Saccharomyces cerevisiae S288C: one gene and its partners. The gene in region 3 interacts genetically with the main gene of each other region. Each region holds a gene or a part of one and is shown on either strand. Other genes may lie near its edges.

What was found.
Region 1: mutations in AAD4 (region 3) and KTR3 together harm fitness more than expected from each alone (negative genetic interaction), as found in Saccharomyces cerevisiae (2 studies listed by BioGRID).
Region 2: mutations in AAD4 (region 3) and HLJ1 together harm fitness more than expected from each alone (negative genetic interaction), as found in Saccharomyces cerevisiae (2 studies listed by BioGRID).

What each region holds. Positions count from the first base shown.
Region 1 is NC_001134.8:629,988-636,399, forward strand, and holds KTR3 (mannosyltransferase KTR3), read left to right. Parts: upstream 1-3,634; coding exon 3,635-4,849; downstream 4,850-6,412. Other genes in the region: COS111 (Cos111p), read left to right, coding at 1-1,955; LDH1 (triacylglycerol lipase), read right to left, coding at 2,267-3,394; FTH1 (Fth1p), read left to right, coding at 5,159-6,412. UniProt on the Saccharomyces cerevisiae protein: Possible glycosyltransferase that transfers an alpha-D-mannosyl residue from GDP-mannose into lipid-linked oligosaccharide, forming an alpha-(1->2)-D-mannosyl-D-mannose linkage.
Region 2 is NC_001145.3:573,949-579,955, forward strand, and holds HLJ1 (type I HSP40 co-chaperone HLJ1), read left to right. Parts: upstream 1-3,769; coding exon 3,770-4,444; downstream 4,445-6,007. Other genes in the region: ATG16 (Atg16p), read right to left, coding at 528-980; CVM1 (Cvm1p), read left to right, coding at 1,118-3,568; aminophospholipid-translocating P4-type ATPase DNF3, read right to left, coding at 5,003-6,007.
Region 3 is NC_001136.10:17,077-25,488, reverse strand, and holds AAD4 (putative aryl-alcohol dehydrogenase), read left to right. Parts: upstream 1-6,922; coding exon 6,923-7,912; downstream 7,913-8,412. Other genes in the region: GTPase-activating protein LRG1, read right to left, coding at 1-2,666; YDL241W (uncharacterized protein), read right to left, coding at 4,483-4,854; YDL242W (uncharacterized protein), read right to left, coding at 6,177-6,530; THI13 (4-amino-5-hydroxymethyl-2-methylpyrimidine phosphate synthase), read right to left, coding at 8,263-8,412.

The DNA of each region.
Region 1 (6,412 bases), on a different chromosome or scaffold from region 3:
ACTCGAAGGATTCTCAAGGCCTAGACGATGATGGCCACTCAAGGCGTCACAGACGCCGTCGCCGCAGATCTACTAACACAAGTTTGAATCTACCTCCAGCTACTCCAACATCTACCATTTCTAACGAGGATGATGCCAATAGCGGATTAATCAAAGACGACGCTTCAAATGGCAGTGAAGTTGAAGACTTGGCATTAGCTGGTTGGAGAGACTGGAGATACAGAAATGAACCCCTTTATAGCTCTCCTCTGTTGAACAGCTTTAAACTGAAAAAAGTGGTTTCTCGTTCTTCTTCTATCACTTCTACATCTTCTGGAAATTCCACCGGTGTTCACTCTACAAGGAGACAACGTTCCAATAGTTCCGTTGCTTCCATAACGACGAGTATCATGTCATCCATCTATAACACCTCCCATGTCTCATTGTCTTCAACCACGTCTAATACCAGCAATGGTAACATCTCTTCTGGTAGTAATCTGTCAAGAGTTTCCACTGCTGGATCATTGAAAAAAGCTTCTGCGAAGTCCACAAGGTCATCTCCTCAGAAAGCAAAACCTATATCTGACATTACGTCATCTTCCTGGTTTAGAATGAGGTTAAGTTCAAGAAATAGAAAGGCAAGGACAGCTAATACGATTAATTTAAAGAACTCGAAGGATAAGTCTGACGATGACTTTAAAGTTTTAAAGCACGATTCGGGGCATCCATCCAATTATCGTTCTTCGACATTAAAATTTAGCATTGAACAACCATTTAGTACGCATCATCCGTATGCCAACAAATTTCTTTTAAAGTACGCTCCTTATAAAGATCTGCCCCTAGGTTATATTTTACATATGCTGAACCTGTGTCCTAACCTTGTTGAACTAAACCTTTCCAATTTAGTTATTTGTACCGATTTCAAATTAATCAACCAAAGATCCGAAAGAAGAAGGATGACATCTTCACTGTTGCCCGCTGTCCAGGAGTCTAGTGTTTCTGCAGGCCCTGAGAAAGATTTAGAAATTGTCTATATGACCGATTCTGGCAAAGGTTATGAATATTATGAGGGGTTAAGCAAGAAACACTCACGTTCTTCAAGCCTAGGTACCAATCCATCTAGTTGGATTGGAGGTCAGGCGAATTGGACAGATTACCCACCTCCAATCGATGCACAAACGAAAACAAGAGAGGAACACAGACGCAACAATACCTTGAACAATAAGAACGTCGTATTAAAGAAGCTAAACCCTTTTGAAATTTTTGAAATGATCTGCAATAGAAATGAAGAAAAAGGTGGCTACTGCTCCTTAACTAAGGTGAAAATGAATGACATTGTGTGGTGCAGGCAATATATGGTAAAGTATTTTGTAATGAGGACGTTTCGCCAGCATTTGGATTATAAATCCATGGAAAACAACTCTTATGAAAGACACTTATTCAGTTTCCGGGACTCTGGCTTGGATAGAAATTTTTCCTGGGCTTGTAATGCCAAATTGCATGAATTTGTCGCATTGATGGTTATGGATCATCTTTCAAATTTAGATGATTTAGGATTAGAAGAGCTTTTTAATATCAAGTCCGAAAAGCTATATATAAAAAACTATTGTTGCCGAGACCCGGATATTCTCGAAATATCAAACTTATTTGATATTAGATATGGGGCCGGATCTGAGGCTGATGCTACTTCTGATTCCAATCTCGAAGCAGAATCTTTACAATTCAGGTTGACAATATTAAAAACAGAAAAGCCAACTTCATTTTGGCTCACAAAAGTTTCCAAAGATTATGTTTCTTTAGTGGTTAAATTATGTGTGGATGATGACATTGATATGGACAAAATGAAAGTTGGAAAACCAACTTTGAGAATAGACAGTATTACACACAATTTGATTAGTAGGTTAAAGGAGTTGAGGAGAGTTGATCTAAGGAGAAATGTTGGCGAAAATAACTACTATGCTGAAAGCATCATATAACGACTGCTCTCTTTTAACAGCATACGTTCTGTTAATTTATTTGGCCAAATATTATTGATGTTTATTTTTTTCTTTTTTGCATAGCCTTTCTACATTTCATGGCTTTATTTATTTATATTTATTTTTCGTTTCCTATTTTTTTGCATACATAGACACTACCTTTGATTTTTGCTTGTAAGATGTACGATATAAAGTATACTATGAAAAATTTGAAAATATTGGTCTTAGTTACTTTTTCTGGTTTGTTTTATCAATTCATGTAGCAGTGTGCACGAAAATCTAGTTACGCAATGTGAAATCTAGAAAACCTTCTACAATTTGGAATTATCAATCACCTCTCGTTGAAAGTTTTCACACACCAATTCTGGACGGTCGAAGCATAAATTATGAGAACAGTCAGGTAAAATAATCACTTTACGAAGACATTCTTTATTTATAGTTTGTTTGTAAAATTCCAAATTTTCAATAGGAGCTATAGGATCTTTTTCAGCGCCAAATATTATAATTTTCTGTTTCATATCCGTTTGCGTCAATACACCATTGAATTTAACCCAATCAACAGTTTCCCATCCTAGTAAATAACCTATGATGGTTCTACTTTTGTTGCTTATGTTGTTTTTAAATTGCCAGAACTTCCTGTATTTCAACTTGACATCATCACCTTGTTGATAAAAATACTGCTTGATGCCGGAACTTTGTAGACCTTTTACCTGATCGAATTTGTTTCTATAAACGTCAAATAGCCATGGCAATTTAAACACACCATAGAGAGCCCACTGGATAATATGTTTATCCTTAGAAAGCTGCTCGATATGTGCTTTGGGGGGCGTCAACAAAACTAGCGTTTGTACCGCTTTTGTATCAGCCATGTGCTGCTCGTAAAGATGACATGCCAGAAAACAACCCATAGAATGCCCTACAAGCACTATCTTATGACCGTTAAATGGATTTACGTTATCATTATTCGGCACCGCTGTAGACCATTTTCTTAAGACGTCACATACAAGAACGAAAATAAGTTCCACCACTTTCAGCATGGGGTAGTCGCTCCATTCTGAACTATGACCAAAGCCGGGCAGATCTAACGTCAAAAATGCCTTTTGATCAGAGTCCACAAGCTCGAGTAAGGGTTCAAATTGTTCTAAGTTGCCAGCCAACCCAGGCACGAAGACGAAAACAGTATCACCCCGTATCCCTTTATCGCTCAAGTTGTGACACGTCCTTATTCTTGAATTTCGATCCGATAGTTGTACATTAAAAAACTCCTCATGTTCTGCGATAAACTTCAACCTAAAGTCCAAATCTACCTCTGGTTTGCGAATGTAAGCTACCAAATCAGCTGCATTTTCTGCATTTTGAACAATCTCTTCTAGCGTCTTTCCAGAAAGGGGCTCACAGGACCAACTTTTTGTTGCTTCTGCACGTTCTGCCATATTCATTACCAAGAGAAAAAGTTCTCGGTTTAAGGCTTTCTTCTAACGTTGAGTTACGATCCAAATGCGACTGTACCATCTTGGTAGTTCTTTATTAATGAACCCTTTAAAATTGCCGGGTTAAAAGAATGGCGCGTCCTCTTGAAACTTTTCGAAGAAAACAACGTAACTGATGGTTAAAATTTGCATAAAGAAGGTCAGGCCTCGTCTGCGGACAACAACACTATCAATATCCAGCGTGCAATTATGTCTGTGCACCACAAAAAGAAGCTAATGCCCAAATCGGCATTGCTGATTAGAAAATACCAAAAGGGAATCAGATCATCATTCATTGGGCTCATCATAGTGTTATCCTTTTTATTTTTCATGAGTGGCTCAAGGTCCCCAGAGGTACCAATAGCTCAGGGCACCAGTGTCAGTCGTGTAGCCAGTAAGGATTATTTGATGCCGTTTACTGACAAGTCACAAGGAGTAATCCATCCCGTGGACGATGGAAAGAAGGAAAAGGGTGTTATGGTCACATTGGCCAGGAATTCAGATTTATGGAACTTGGTAAAATCTATTAGACATGTTGAAGACAGGTTCAATAACAGATATCACTACGATTGGGTGTTCTTGAATGACCAACCATTTAGTGATGAGTTTAAACGTGTTACCAGTGCATTGGTTTCAGGCAAGGCAAAATATGGGACAATCCCAAAGGACCATTGGTCCATTCCATCTTGGATCGATACTGAAAAATTCGATGAGAAAAGGCTTGCAATGGGAAAATTGGATATTCCATATGGTAGTTCCGTGCCTTACCGTCACATGTGCCGTTTCCAGTCAGGGTTCATATGGAGACACCCACTACTGGAGGAGTACGAATGGTTTTGGAGAGTGGATACCGATATCACTTTATTCTGTGATATTCAGTATGACATATTCAAGTTTTTAAAAGTAAATAACAAGAAATATGGATTCATTCTTTCGGTAAGTGAATATGAGCGCACAATCCCAACCTTGTGGGAAACGACAAAGAAATTCATCAAGAAAAATCCTAAATTCTTACACAAAAATAACCTCATGAAATTCATTTCGAATGATGATGGTGACACTTATAATATGTGTCATTTCTGGACCAACTTCGAAATCGGCTCTTTAGACTTCTTCAGGTCCGATGCATACAGAGAATACTTTGATTACTTAGACAGTTCTGGTGGATTCTTCTACGAAAGATGGGGGGATGCGCCAGTGCACTCCATCGCTGCCTCTTTGTTCTTGGACAAGTCAGAAATCCATTTCTTTGACGGTCTTGGATTCCATCATCCAGATTTCACCTCTTGTCCTATCGAACAGAAGATTAGACTACAAAACAAGTGTATCTGCGAACCTAGCAAGGACGTCACCTGGACTCCTGACTACTTCTGTACTAGAAAGTACTTTTCAGCAGGAAATTACAAGCTTCCACCAGGAATTTAAAAACCAAACTACAAATAGCGCCTGCTCCGTCAAAACAGGTGCTAAAACGTCAACATGTATCTATCTATATACACATAATTCAATGTAGTAGCCACCTCACTTTATTCTAGTGCCTTCTTGGGTTCAAAAATGGGTGCGGTGCGGCCGGAGATGAAGAGAGAAAAGCAAAATTGTATCTAAACCAGCCTACAAAAACACAAACTTGATATTATAAAGAATCAAGCATCTTACTGAACTTTTGTCCTCTACAGAAAAGCGAAAAAACTCTAAGAATAGAGAACTAGAGTGGTGTTCATATTTCTAGTCACCATGGCGTTTGAGGATTATTTTTCTTTCCAGATATTCTTCATTTTCTTAAGGGAATCCTTAGAAATTGTTGTCATTGTTTCTATCCTGTTGACGATCGTCAAACAAGGTCTGTCTGTTGAGGACGACAGCCCGTTTGAAGGAAGTTCCTCTTCTGCTGGTCTTCCAAGTCCAAATACGAACACAAACGCAGATTCGACCACTGCCTTCTTACAAGCAGGGCCTTCAGACGGTAATGCTATTGGAACGTCCGCTACGGCTGCTAATAATAAATCGAGGCCGCTAAATGTGGAGGAAGAAGAAGAAATTTACGAGTACTCTAATGAGCTTAGAGACCAGGACCGCGAGTCCGATGAACATACGGCTGACAACGTTAAGCTATATCAGAAATTAAAAATACAAATTCTAGCGGGCGGCGCATTTGGTTTGTTGCTGTGTATGTTAATCGGGGGTGCGTTTGTTAGTATCTTTTATCATATTGGAACCGACTTATGGACACTGAGTGAACATTATTATGAAGGTGTCTTAAGTCTTGTCGCGTCCGTTATTATTTCTGTCATGGGGTTGTTTTTTTTAAGAATGGGGAAGTTAAGAGAGAAGTTCAGAGTGAAATTAGCTTCTATCATTTATTCAAAGGACAATAATTTGCTGGGAAACAAAACCCAAAAAGGTGTGAAATTCAGTGAAAAGTACTCCTTCTTCATATTACCATTTATAACGACTTTGAGAGAAGGGTTAGAAGCTGTTGTATTCATTGGAGGTATCGGTATTGACCAACCACTATCCTCGATTCCCCTCTCTATGGTCCTTGCTACTGCAATCAGTACGGTGTTCGGTATTTTTTTCTTCAGGTACTCAAGTTCTCTTTCACTTAAGATATGCCTTGTAGTCGCCACCTGCTTCCTCTACTTGATCGCGGCTGGTTTGTTTTCCAAAGGTGTATGGCAACTTGAATTGCAAGACTACGTCAACAAATGTAACGGTCAAGACATGAGTGAAGTAGGAAATGGACCCGGTTCGTACGACATATCTCGTTCTGTTTGGCATGTTAATTGTTGCAATGGTGAAAAAGATGGAGGTTGGATGATTTTTACTGCCATTTTTGGTTGGACGAATAGTGCTACCGTCGGCTCTGTAATTAGCTACAACGCCTACTGGTTGGTATTAATATGCGCTTTGAAACTGCTAATGATAGAAGAAAAATACGGATATATCCCATATCTACCTATTAGCTGGCAAAAGAAACGTATTATGAAA
Region 2 (6,007 bases), on a different chromosome or scaffold from region 3:
CTATAAATGAAAAAAAAAGCTTTCTGCTATAAGAACAGCAAGGGGCATTTCAACTTACACATAATAGAAGGTGAGATAAAGACCATCGTGAATCCTAATAGAAACTGCGGGTTTCTTAGGATCATGGGTCGCGCAAAACCGCCAAGTTTACCATCAAAAAGCTACAAAGTTCAATTTACCCAATAGAATTCTAACGCCAAAGATTTGTAGTGATTCATATGAAATTTTCTTTATGCATCCAGTTATTACTATTGAGTTTCTCTCAAGATACATTCTCCAAAAAAAAAGCCTGTTCTCGCACAAACGACCTTAAGAAAGGTTTAAAACAGCTGTCACATTACATTATAGTAGATAAAAACACGAATGGCATTTTCTTAACTTGCAGGTGTACTCTCTATAGCATGTTTAACATATTTTCACCTCTTTATTGCAAACACTTTGGCGTTTCATATTCTGTCCATGTATATGCACCACAATGATTTTATTTTCTTTTGTATGCATTTTGTGACGATTTGACAACTGATGCATCATTTCGTTCCATCTATTTCGCTGTTCATGGCTTCTGTCTCTTTCTCTGTCTTTTTTAGCCATCTCGCAACTAGCTGGGAATGTTCTTTTTTCAGATCCGAGAGTTTTTGTTGTAAAACATTATTTTCAATGGTTCCACTAATCAATTCGTCATTCAACCTTTCCGTATTCTTATTTTTCAACGCAATAACTTCTTTCAATCTTCGTATTTCTTGCTCCTTACTTTTCAGTTCTTTTTGTAGAATTGCCAGTGTATTCAATAAAGCATCGTCATGGCTGACAATGTTGCCACCAATGGCGCCACTATTATCTTGAAACAACTCATTTAAATGGGCCTCCTTGTCGTTTCGATCTGTTAGTCTACGAATTAACAAATCATCCATGCTATCTGTTTGTGGATTGCTTCTTTCCTCCTTTGCTTTCTTCCTTTCTGTTATAATGAAATTGCCCATGGAATATGCGCCCTTAATACAGATTCGCGCAGGTTAATAACAAAAATCAACGTTAAATAAAGGTCAACTACAAACAGAATAAGTAAAAGCGAGCAAGTGTAGTAGCAATTTAGCACAACATATAAAACGCTATTATAATGGATGTTGTGCAGCAGAAACAGGATAAACAGTTGCAGCATCAAACACAAGAGCAGCAGCAGATACGAGAGGACCAGCAGGAAGTCCCACCCCAACGTCCACGACAACAAAACAGATGGAAACCCTGGTGGAATTCCACTGCCGACGATGAGCCAAACACGGGAAGAATTGCAGAATATCCTAATGGACAAGGAAGGAGTAGTCCGACAACGGATTTTCAAGATAGCGTGAACTCGAATAATGACAATAAAGGGATATGGTCTAAAATCGCTTCTTTTGCAACATCCAGATATAGAAGTGCCCCAATTGTTGTTGATGATAATACCCGCTACTCTCAACTAAACACTGAACAAATCAACTTCTTGGAAAATGAGGCTAAGGATATAATTTCAAAAAAGTCGAAATCATGGTGTTGGTACGAAGCAATTCCACATATATCAAATTCATCAAACATAATTGATTCCATAGATACCCCAGGAATAATCAGTGTCTCTGGTACAGGATCAGCCAAATGCCCATTGCCATTAAACAAATATCCTGGGGAGGGAGGTAACCCTGGGTATAATGTATTTATTAATGATTCTTTAATCCTACCATCAGATAACCCTTTGAATTTTCTGCACGTCCAACCACTAAGAACTAAGGTATTGAATACTATCAAAAATTACTATAACTTCCCTAATGAGCAACATCTCTATTTAAGACAAAAAAAAACCGCATTACTGAAGGATAAGAGAATTATTATAATATCCGTCGTGGGGGATTTACCAGAAAAGTATGAGCAGCGCTCATTAGAATCACAAAGATCGGCTTATTATCTTTCTAGAAAATTGTCACAAAATCTAGCGCAAGAACAACCTCAAAGAGTCTTGACCCTATCGTTCCAGTGCCCACTGCATAATCAAGATTTAATACCTACATATAAAGAATGTGTAGAGTTACTGAACCACTGGGCTCATCTTTTCAAAGAGGTAGATTCAATTTTTTTTGTGGGCGTTTATCACAGCGTTCCCTTAACTTTGCTATTAGCGAAATATATCGTGCAAAATAATGAAGTTCTAGAGTTTGATGAAAACACTACAGTGAGTGTATTGAGTTTCCAGTCATGTTTACAAGGCTATCGATTTTGGGACCACAGCACTGACTTTACTAGCAATAGTTATAATAACTTGGGTTCCAATTCCAGTACTAACGAAAATGATAGTAATGATCATGATTCAAATAATGATTTCACAACGAAGAGCCAACAAATCAAAGAAAAACAGTTATTTCAGGGCATTGACAAAAAGCAACAAGACACATTATCTAAAATCAAAAATTATAGGCGGATAGATTCTAGTGAATCTAAACTAGTTCAGGATGCATTGGATTGGCTCTTGTTCAATTGGGATACGTTTCGACTGACATTTTTTGGTAAGCTTTATGATAATTTTATGACAATTTCAGAAAAACTTGCTATAGATTATAATCACCCTAAAATCTTGAGAAATTTATGGTGCAATGGGAAGTACATGGGCATTGATTTAAAGAATGCTAATAATTTAAACCTTGATACCGATGATGAAGCAACTAGTAACATTAATGACGTCCATGTAAGGACCCCTAATTTTGAATCGAGATTGAAGATTCCCACCAACAGACTTTTCGAAATAACCTTATGGGATATTTTGATGATAACGGAGAATTTAGGATATAAACAATTTATTCCCATAATTAATTTACTAAGTCCTTTTTTTATTTCAAGGTCATTTAATGATTACACATTGCCTCCAAATATTAGGAAACAGTACCAGAACAGCAACAAAATCTGGCTTCAAGAAATGGACAGTAAGTGGAAAATGAATGGTCATCAACTCAATTACGACCAAAGGGAGGGTGAAAGTCTCGGTTCATCATCGGAATCATTATTGCCAGAGAATATTTCTACGGTAAAGGATTTTTTGCAGTTTGTGCAGTATCAAAACGAAAAATCTTCGGATTTCGTAAGGATATATTCAGACATTTATGATGACGATAAAGTCTATAAATGCTTTCTGTACAATACAATATTCACGAAAAACCCATTAAGTCGTAAGCATTTACGTTTAAACATCGACCTCGACACTCCTACAAGCATATTGAATACTGTCAATCAATATGATTTGGTATGGAAAATTCATGATTCCTTCTCCAAATTGATTCAATTGAAAAATTTACCGCAGCGAGAGATACCACATGCGTTGAGGCTCTCCATCTCATTAAACTGCTTCTTGGATAGTACCACGAGTACTTCTGGCCCTGTTTTTCAGAGGGACACCGTGGAAGCTTTGAGAAGATTAACAGAGATTTGGCGAACTTACCAGGATTGGTCTCCACCAACAAGGGGTTTGAAACACCTACGTGATATCCTGAGCGTTTTAGCCATGTATGACAACCCCAAAAACTTGATTAATGATGTTCGACGTACATAGTAGATTCGTATATAGCGGACCGCGTAACATATTATGGTATTTGTATAGTGGGTAACCCGCAGAGTAGGCTGGAAAGTATTCGTGAAGAACATAAAGGAAGCTGGCAGAAGTTCTTTTCATACACCTCTACTTCCAGAAGCCATAATAGCAGCAACGCTGTTTCTGCAATATAACTTGTGGAAGGTCTATAATAGGAAGAACATGTCTTTCACTGAGGATCAAGAAAAAATCGCGCTAGAAATACTGTCAAAAGACAAGCATGAGTTTTACGAAATTTTGAAGGTAGATAGGAAAGCCACAGATAGTGAGATCAAGAAGGCATACAGAAAACTAGCAATCAAATTGCATCCTGATAAAAACTCTCATCCAAAAGCGGGAGAAGCTTTCAAAGTAATTAATAGGGCATTTGAAGTACTAAGCAATGAGGAAAAGCGCAGTATTTATGACAGGATAGGTAGGGATCCTGACGATAGACAAATGCCATCCAGAGGTGCTGCTTCAGGGTTCCGAGGAAGTGCAGGTGGGTCTCCAATGGGTGGCGGATTTGAAGACATGTTTTTCAATTCACGTTTCGGTGGTCAAAGAGCTGGACCACCAGAGGACATATTCGACTTTTTGTTCAACGCAGGCGGCAGCCCATTCGGCGCTTCACCATTTGGGCCTTCTGCTTCCACTTTTTCATTTGGAGGCCCCGGTGGTTTCAGAGTTTATACTAATAATCGTGGTGGCTCACCGTTCATGCGTCAACAACCCCGCTCAAGACAGCAGCAACAACAAGCAGAAGAAAATGCAGTGAATTCGCAATTAAAAAATATGCTCGTTCTTTTCATCATCTTTATTGTTCTTCCTATGATTAAAGATTACCTGTTTAGTTAAACACAATATTTTTACTGTCATTTTTTTATTATTTTCCAACGTTAGTCAAAGTTGTACTATAAAATAAAACTACAAGGAGCAAGCAAAATTGAAAAAACGCATTTGTATACTAGATGACATTTAGGTCATTCCTTCAGGCTTCCTGGCTATGTTTTATTTTGTTCCACAGTTTACCAGAAGGACATAATGGTATTAGAATTTTAATATATCGAGGAAATTAAATCAGACAGTATAATACTTATAAACATCTTTATTTTCTGATAACTAATCATAGCATTTACGCCATACATTTACTTTTTCTTTTGACACCGAAAGTAATCAAGCCACTTTTATAATTAGAGTTAGTTTATAGATAGTATTTAAAATTTGTGAAGATTTCCCATGCGTTGTGCCTTGCTTTCTCTCAAAATACATCTTGTTAATTTTCTAATGTGTGGATGCCGAAATAATATTCGACTCAACAAATCAAGTAAGTCTTCTAAGCTCGCTACTAATTTCCAATAAAAGGTATATATATAAAAATGTTCTCAATAATGTAATTAAACAAGATCACGAGAATTACTCCAGATCCTTTAGCCTTGCCTGAATAATCTGGTTCACATCTTCATCTTCCACATTCCTCGATGGAAGCTTCAGTTTCTTCGTCAGTTTAGTAGTTATATTGCCGCCAATACTGTCTTTACTGCTTTGTGTTTTCAAGGATGGTCGCTTGATTAACTTGCCACTAGGTAATACCTCGTATCGTTCAGAGCTCTTTTTAGAAGAGTTTCCAAAGAAATTTTTTTTTGAGGAATGGTCTACATTCCCATTTGACATTGAATATATGCTGCTGTTATGAGTTTTTGCACTTGCACGTGAATTAGTTCTTGGCCTTGAAAGAACTTTGTCTGTGTACCTTGTGAAAGTACTGGGATCTTTATCCCACGTCCATCCTTGCCTCATTTCGCTATAGGCTCCTAGTTCCAGCTTCTTTCTGATATCACTTTTTTGTTCCAGCTCAGCAAAAATATCAGAATCTGATGGCCATATCATAACTTTGAATGTTTTGTAAACTATATCTAAAGTGATAGGTAACAGTGCCAACACCAAGCTAGTACACCAGAATGTAATGTCTTTACCAAAATGATTGTAAAAGCCATATGCTACATCATATATTTGGTCAGTATTATTCAAAATAGGAAGGGCACAACACCACACTAACCAACCTCCACAGGATAGAACTACAGAAGTAAAAGCCAGCCAATTCCTATTGTGCATTTCAACAAATTGGGATTTAACGTTAATTAAGGCAACAATGGCTGTGAAATTGATGAGACCTAGAGGATACATAGTGTTATCTGAAAGAGAACTCATACCCCACATTACAACATTTAAAAATGTAATGATAAGAGAATTCGTAGTTGCCAAGATAACCCACTCCATGAATATTAACCAATTAAAACCTTGTGAAAGGCGCCCGTACGAATATAATTCAGGGACTGTTAGTAGAGTCATTGGTTTCAAGTCTTTCTCAAACATACCAATACATAGAACCGGTAGTGATGTGAATAGAGTATTGAACAT
Region 3 (8,412 bases):
ATTTTTGATCCCATTTCATTCTCAATGTAAGAGAATGAGGACGTCCAATGCAAAAATGACAAAAGTGCCTCCAGTAAATTGCGATTGTAAGTGGGTAATAAGGAATATATTAGCAATATAACACGCTGTTTCTCATCCTCTAAATCAATTTTCGCGGCCTTAATCCATAGTTCATATAAGTCTGTCGATAAAATCGGTTGGGGAAGCTCTCTGATAAATTTCTTCAAAAGAGCAGATAATTGGATTGCATTTTCTTTCGAGAAGTCTGGAGCTTCTGTTGGATTACTGTCGATGTTAGCAGTTAGTTCTCTCAGTCTTCTGATATTTCCATTTTTCCTGAAAATACCTTCTACTGACATATCCATTTGCCTCAAAGATGATATTAGCTCGTCAATAATTATGGGGATCCTAATCTTCACTGGCCCCACACCTAAATCGGAATCAACACCCCATTTCTCGCACAACACATCTAAAGGAGCACCAAAAACAGTCTTAGTGATGGGCTTTTTAGGCTCCATGCTCATCATGATTTTCATTCTGTTCCAAAAGCTACCTGTGACTTGCTTTTCATTCGAGAAGACCATTGAGACTAAGCTAGTATAGTTAGGATCAGTCTTCGATATCAGTTGTTTACCAGCTAGCAGTGACAAACTGATAGCCCTTATCATCGAGAGTTCCATCGTACTTAATTCAGAGTAATAAACTCCGCTTTTCTTGGGAACAACATTCGAAGTTTCGTCATCGGTTTCTTTTAGTTTTTTAAAGTGTGCAAAAGCGTTAGGTCTTAGCTCCCTTGCTTGTTCAGCGGCAACAATACGTGAAATATCATCTAGTGTCAACGTCTTAGTATTACTGAAAACATTTTCACGTGTGCTCACTTGTTGGCTCGATGATGGGTCATCTGTTTGAATCACAAGATTTTTACTATCTCCTTGTTTTGTCGGGTCATTTAAATCTGTCTCTGCAGTTTCCAGTATCACTGATTTTCTAGCTTGTTGTTTGTTATGAGTGACCCGAACACTTTCTCTTCTAGATCTCAATCTTTTAATATCATTCAGTGTCCTAATGTAAGTTTGTTCCTTTAGCATAGTACTCTGTAAAGAGTTTCTGCCTACCTTGTTAGATGCTTTCGATTTCAACATTACAGTTCTTGATTTGACTAGGGCAATTTTTAGAAGAAAAATTAGTTGTGCTAGCTTAGTAACAAATTTGAAACCCGGCACAGAGGCCGGATCATCAATTGAGCAGTGAGAACATAGTATCTTTTTTTTCTCTTTATTAAAGGTGGGATCCGTCAAACTCCTCGGATTTATATTCTTATGGCATGAAGAACAAGTAAAACAAGCAATATGCCACCGGTGCTCATAAAATTGAATGCATTCCTCCTGTATGTATTTATTGCATCCAGCGCAACTATCTGTGGCGTTAACAGGAGTCTTTATATACTGAAACGGGTTATTTTCAAAAAGCTCATTTTTCTCTACTTCTCTTAAAAACCTCAACAATGGATTAACAGAATGAGTCAACTTATTGTTTTCTAGAGCCGTATATAGCCCAAATCTTGTTAACAGTTTTAGAAAATGGGCTAATCCAGTAATAACAGACATAAAAGATGAAATTGTGATAGTTTCGTTTTTGTTTTCTGTCCCTAACTTTCTTAAGAGTTGTAAATATATCATAATTTTTGTGGACAGATTTTTGGGAAACTTGCTGTATTTACTGGCCGCCATTGCGTTGTTTTCAATGCATTCTTGATCACTGTTAACTGGCATACTTTTGTTCGTCGAGAGGTTTAAAGTATCCAGTCCCCGGAAAAGACAGTCGATTTTTAGTACCAACAGACCCGTAGACTCTATGCCCTTTAACTGATCATTGCTTGTCAAATATTGAAACATATCAGAAATGCAAGAAGCTGCCTCTTCCTCAAAACGATATAAAACCGACCACGTTTTAGATAGAATAAAGTTAAACGCCTGCATTTGTTTATCTAACTCGTAGGCAGTTGGGTTTATATCTTTGTCTCCGGAATTTGGGTTATATTCCAGCTTGGGAAGGTACTGCAAACCAACAGTTTCTGCTGCTAAATTTACATGCCAATATTTATGAATTCCATAACATTCCGGATGCCAACAATGTATTTCTTCACCTTTAGGAAACTCGATATATTGATCCGATATTGGGAACTCGCACCCTTTGCAACGTTTCGAAAAATACTTGAGAAAGTGGTACTTGCAATACAATTGGTTTCCGTACATGAAGCATTTTTTAACCCCACAAGGAGTAGCACATATTGTACAAGAAAAATGCTCTTCGTCGTATCTGTAACCGAATGCGGTATAATATAATCCACGCAATGGGGTATCACATACATGACATAACAAATTATGTCTTCTAAAATAATCGTATTGGCATAACAATATAGATTCACTTGTCTTGTCTACTTGATATGGGAAGTACTTCGGTTTTAAAGGTTTCTGACAGTCTTGGCAGGTAAAACAACTTTCATGATAATATTTACCGAGAGCCTTTAAAGTTGTTTTAGTTCGTTGGCTATCGGGTATAACTAACTTGTTACAACGGGCGCATATTTTCTTCTGATTCTTCACCTGCACGGTCATCGGAGATGCAGTATTCAGCGATCGATAACCAGCAGAATTTTGAATCATTGCTCACCTCCGGTACTTGTTGTTTGATAATTTGTCTGCTCTTTTTTTCTTTGGATTTGAATAAATACGGTTGCGTATATCTGGGATAAAGGCCAAATAACAATGTTAAGGCAAAGACGGATACTGTTTTGAATGAGAAGCCCAATTGCTGGTTTCTAGCAAGAACAGCCTTGGTTGGCTCGAGAGGAATGATTTACATATTTTAAATTCTCAAATGACGTTTCAGATTCTGTTCTTATTTGTTTTCCATTTTGTTTACATCTTCCGTGCCCATCAATACCCGGCATACTTTGAAGACGAAAAAGATACTTACATAAAGATAAGGATATACTCGCCAAGATCGATTTCTTGAAGTAAATACTTTGTGGGGAGGTGTTGTAGCGATGGGCTAACCTGCAAGCATTAAGTTATATTTACTAGTGAGGTACGTTGTAGAAAAGTGCGTTACAACGAGAAGTAATTCAAACGTAAGTAGCACATGCGGGCTTCTTGATATATTTGCTAGCTCAAAAAGCTAACTGAGTACAACATGGGGGCCACCCATGTTGATTATGTTCTGGTCGTAAAGTGATCTTTTACGGGTTATATTGTTTGCCCATAATTTCAGTTTTGAGGTGCCTATCGCTTCTTCTCGTTTTGTTTTGGGAACGTTTGAGTATTTACTTTATAGTGCACTTTTTTGCGTTTTCATCTCTTGACTGTTCGAAAACCAATGTTGGTGAAGGAAATAGCTAAGTATGACCTCGCCTTAAACCAATCTTAGTATCCTGTCTCTTTGCCACAGCTATTTCCTACTTCCATTAAGATCAATTTCTTTGCTATTGGAATCACAGGCGACTTAGAATGCATTTTCTATACTAGTAATTCGCAATTTTCTTGTTTTCCACAACGGTTTAATACTAAGCAGATGATATGACAATATGGCAAACATGATATACAGAAGAGAGCTTAATGGGACCAACTAAAGTTAGATGACACCATGGTCCAATTTTCTGAGCATGAACAACGGCAGAACAATAGCTGAACTGGACCGATTTGATTTTTGAACAGGAAATCTGTAATTTTTTATGCTTTGTTTTATGTAGCGATTTTATGATTATTGTTAATTATACATCTCACAAAAGCCAAGAAGAAATCTGAAAAAGTGAGCCCACACGTAGACTATTTGACGCTCATGAAAGTTGTCAAGCCTTGTGTTAGCGTTAACGTACTTCATTTAAAACATGGCCGCTTCGTGAGAAGTGGAAGCATAGTATCGATATTTTCTATAATCTAAATTATTTTAGTGCCCATAATGCAGTATACTGTATCGTATAGGAGTTCTGACTTGCTAATGTAACACAGTAGACTTCACCTTCACTTATGGATACCATTGGCTTATTAAGACATCAGAGTTCATTAAATGAATAGTAACAATCCTTGCGCAAAAAAAGGCGTCGATGACGCACTTTTGCGTTCAAGTTTTATATACTTGGAAAGCTATGACTGATGAGACGGACCTGTTTCGCATAGAAATTCGGTGCTTAACATGTAATTGCACCTTTGTTTTTGAGAAATCCATGAATTTCGCGGTAAAGGCTCGATTAATGATTATTCTATATATATGTACTATAAGCCGATTATCGCAGTTTTTCCAGCCTCCTTAGTAAATTACCCACTGTTTTAAGATGAGTCCTACTGACGGGTTACATTTTTATAGTCTTTCTTCTCAGGCGACCCAAAGTTCTGTCTGACTGTCTCGTATTATATGTAGAAACGATAAAAAATTATATGGTGGCTACTGCGACCACCAATCCAAAGTGTCATACCTTGAGAATTAGACAATTGTATACAACACTAGCATGAACAGTATGGTAAATTTGGCGAGAGAATGAGAAGGCCTTGTATTATGTATTCCCGCATTGGTTTCTGTACCTTTCCCTTGCAGAAAACCACATGCATAAAAGTCGCTTGCCACATAACTCGCATTTGTGAAGCCATGCGAACCACACGTAAACGTTTCAGGACTTTCAGCAGGCTGCCCAGTGAGAAATGTATCATAAAAAATTGAATAAGTTGGGTTCTTTTCTTTAGCAGTTTTCTTTCCTTCAGCTACCCCACAATTATAAATTTCTGTCGGCGTATAGGTTTGATTAATATAGCCCTTGCTACCGCACTTAAACAATAGAGCATTTTCAGTTACGTTCATTTTTTTGTGTCTCTATTATAGATTTTTCTTGGGTGTGATGCAAAAATCGCTGATAGGAATTATAATAAAGGAATATATATATATATATATATATATATATATATATATAGGTACTAATTGGCTTTTCTTATACGCCTCCTATTGATTCACTGCCGAAAGTGCCCTGTTATATACGACAATCATACGCCTGTTTGCAAATAGTCAACATATTCAACTCGGAAGGTAAAAGATGAAAAGGCAATTTTTTTGATTTTCTAAGAAAATGCGCAGCGGGCAGAAGGGTCTTCGCAGGCAACTGAGTAAAGAATATGAGAAAAGCCTCTAAATGTTGAACCCTGAAAAAGTTTCATCTATTTTTGATAAAGACTTTTCAATAGTGCAGGATCACGCAAGAAAAAAAAAGGTCCTTAAGAGCAATTGTGGGAAAATATAATACAATGCTTGCGTTAAAACTTCTAGTTACCTTTTACAACCGAAAGTAAACACTAGCATGGGCTTGGAGACGAGCAGCGCAAATTATATAGTTTGAGATAGAACGCTTTCTCCGGTATTGCCTGGGGAAAAGGAGTCACATGATTAGAATCGGCGAAATTTTTTTTCCAAAATTAACAGCAGGGTTGTCTGGATGTTTTATTGAAAATAGAAGCCAATGACAAACACAAGAGGCCAGTAGTATATTAATTTTAATGTGCATTCTAAAGCATCCTCACGTCTTTCAATCTGAAGTTACTGTTCGAGAAGGAGAAGAAAAGAAGGAAAAATGAAGGATATGAATAATAACATGAGTACTAGTTACGTCCAATCTGGTCACACCATATATTGATGCATCTTATGCGCCATAACTTCTTTTTTTGTAGCTATAATTTGTTGCCAGAAAAATGAAAACTTTTCAAAATCAACCAGTTTCCAATTTTTCTGCAACTCGTTATTTATGAAGATAGATGATGATTGACCCCCTTTCTCCAAAAATCGATGCAGCATTGGGTTATTTTTTGAGCTTTCTAATTATAGGGCCATTTTCTAGCAAGACTGTATAGCACATGCTCGCAAAGAACATGGCGTAATGTTCATAAGAAACAAATTTTGTAAGTTTCTTGTGCCTTTTGAGTTTGAAATCATTGACCAGAACAATGAGAACTCTAAACACGACAAATGGATCTTAAATCAATTTTCTTGAAAACATCTTCCAGTTTCGATATTCGCACATTTGCCGGTAAAATAGTGCAATCTGCCTATACCTTTAAAATGGGATCTTGAACGCGTACCTGAAGGTTTTTTTAAATAAGGCCGAACCTAAATGTTGCCTTCAAAATTAACCTGTATCAAATTTTGAAGCCGAAGTTGGTATCCTCACATTGTCTAACCTCATGGTCTCCTAAAGTCCGGCGATCACTTTCCGTTGCGTGACTATTGATGATCAGACTGTCAACAATGTCGTTCCGGGCCTCCATAGCTTGAAGAATTTTCGTTGACGGAACTAGAGGAATGGCAGATGGAGATGACCTTAGTTTCATGTCGCCTTGATAGTTATCAAAGAGTACAGAAACAAGACGTCTCTTGCTCAATAATAAGGATTGGATCAGGTGCTTACAAATTTTATTCGTCATACAAACAATTACTAATATTTTTTTAATATTAAGCGTACCCCTATTTGATTGGCTCTCTTCTAAATTCATACGTTTTAAAATCCGCTTTCAACCGTCAACATAAAATTAGTAAGCAGACCTCGTTCCAAGACCCAACTAAGTTGCACTAAATATCCTCGAACAAATTGGGGGCAGATTTTTGAACCATATAAAAGTCATGACAATATTTCCAGATCAAGGACAGTTGCAGTTCTTCCTTTCATCGGCCAGCTGACGAATTGACTGAGCGGCTTTGTATTTCACTAGAATACACTTCCTATAGCTACAAAATATTATTCAATAATATTAGTGAATTATTTAAACCTCTACCTGAACCACCTACCGAGTTGGGACGTCTCAGGGTTCTTTCTAAAACTGCCGGCATAAGAGTTTCACCGCTAATTCTGGGAGGAGCTTCAATCGGCGATGCATGGTCAGGCTTTATGGGCTCTATGAATAAGGAACAGGCTTTTGAACTTCTTGATGCTTTTTATGAAGCAGGAGGTAATTGCATTGATACTGCAAACAGTTACCAAAATGAAGAGTCAGAGATTTGGATAGGTGAATGGATGAAATCAAGAAAGTTGCGTGACCAAATTGTAATTGCCACCAAGTTTACCGGAGATTATAAGAAGTATGAAGTAGGTGGCGGTAAAAGTGCCAACTATTGTGGTAATCACAAGCATAGTTTACATGTGAGTGTGAGGGATTCTCTCCGCAAATTGCAAACTGATTGGATTGATATACTTTACGTTCACTGGTGGGATTATATGAGTTCAATCGAAGAAGTTATGGATAGTTTGCATATTTTAGTTCAGCAGGGCAAAGTCCTCTATTTGGGTGTGTCTGATACACCTGCTTGGGTTGTTTCTGCGGCAAACTACTACGCCACATCTCATGGGAAAACTCCTTTTAGTATCTATCAAGGTAAATGGAATGTGTTGAACAGGGACTTTGAGCGCGATATCATTCCAATGGCCAGACATTTTGGTATGGCTCTAGCCCCATGGGATGTTATGGGAGGTGGAAGATTTCAGAGTAAAAAAGCAATGGAGGAACGGAAGAAGAATGGAGAGGGTCTGCGTACTGTTTCGGGTACTTCTAAACAGACGGATAAAGAGGTTAAGATCAGTGAAGCATTGGCCAAGGTTGCTGAGGAACATGGCACTGAGTCTGTTACTGCTATTGCTATTGCCTATGTTCGCTCTAAGGCGAAAAATGTTTTCCCATTGGTTGGTGGAAGGAAAATTGAACACCTCAAACAGAACATTGAGGCTTTAAGTATCAAACTGACACCAGAACAGATAGAATACTTAGAAAGTATTATTCCTTTTGATGTTGGTTTTCCTACTAATTTTATCGGTGATGATCCGGCTGTTACCAAGAAGGCTTCACTTCTCACGGCAATGTCTGCGCAGATTTCCTTCGATTAATCAGATTTCTTTTTTGGTGCGTTTGTGTAAGAAATATGTCCTTATATATTCCACGCTATCTACTTTTATACTTTTGAATAAGCCGCACCTAAAAACAGTCTTTATCCCTCACCTAATTCAGGCGTAAATTGTGCAGGTTACAGCATTTGAAGTGGTAAATCGAGGCAACACAAGACTTTCGATACTTGGAGGCAAGTACGATAATTACAAGGGAAAAGAAGCTGTAATAAAAGGCTCATAAATAATATCTTAATAGTAAATATCTAAATATCAGGGAGGAAAAAAAACCTAATGGGAAATCATAAACAAGTCGTAGAGGAAGGCTACGCTCGAGGAGTGACGAAGTGCGTTTAAGCTGGAAGAGCCAATCTCTTGAAAGTACCTTCCTGTCTGCATTTTTCTTGATGAATAGCCATCAATCTTTGGGCTTCCAAAGGATCAGAAACCTCTTCTGGTTCTGGCCAGGACAGGTATTCATTAGTGTAGTTCGAGACATAGTC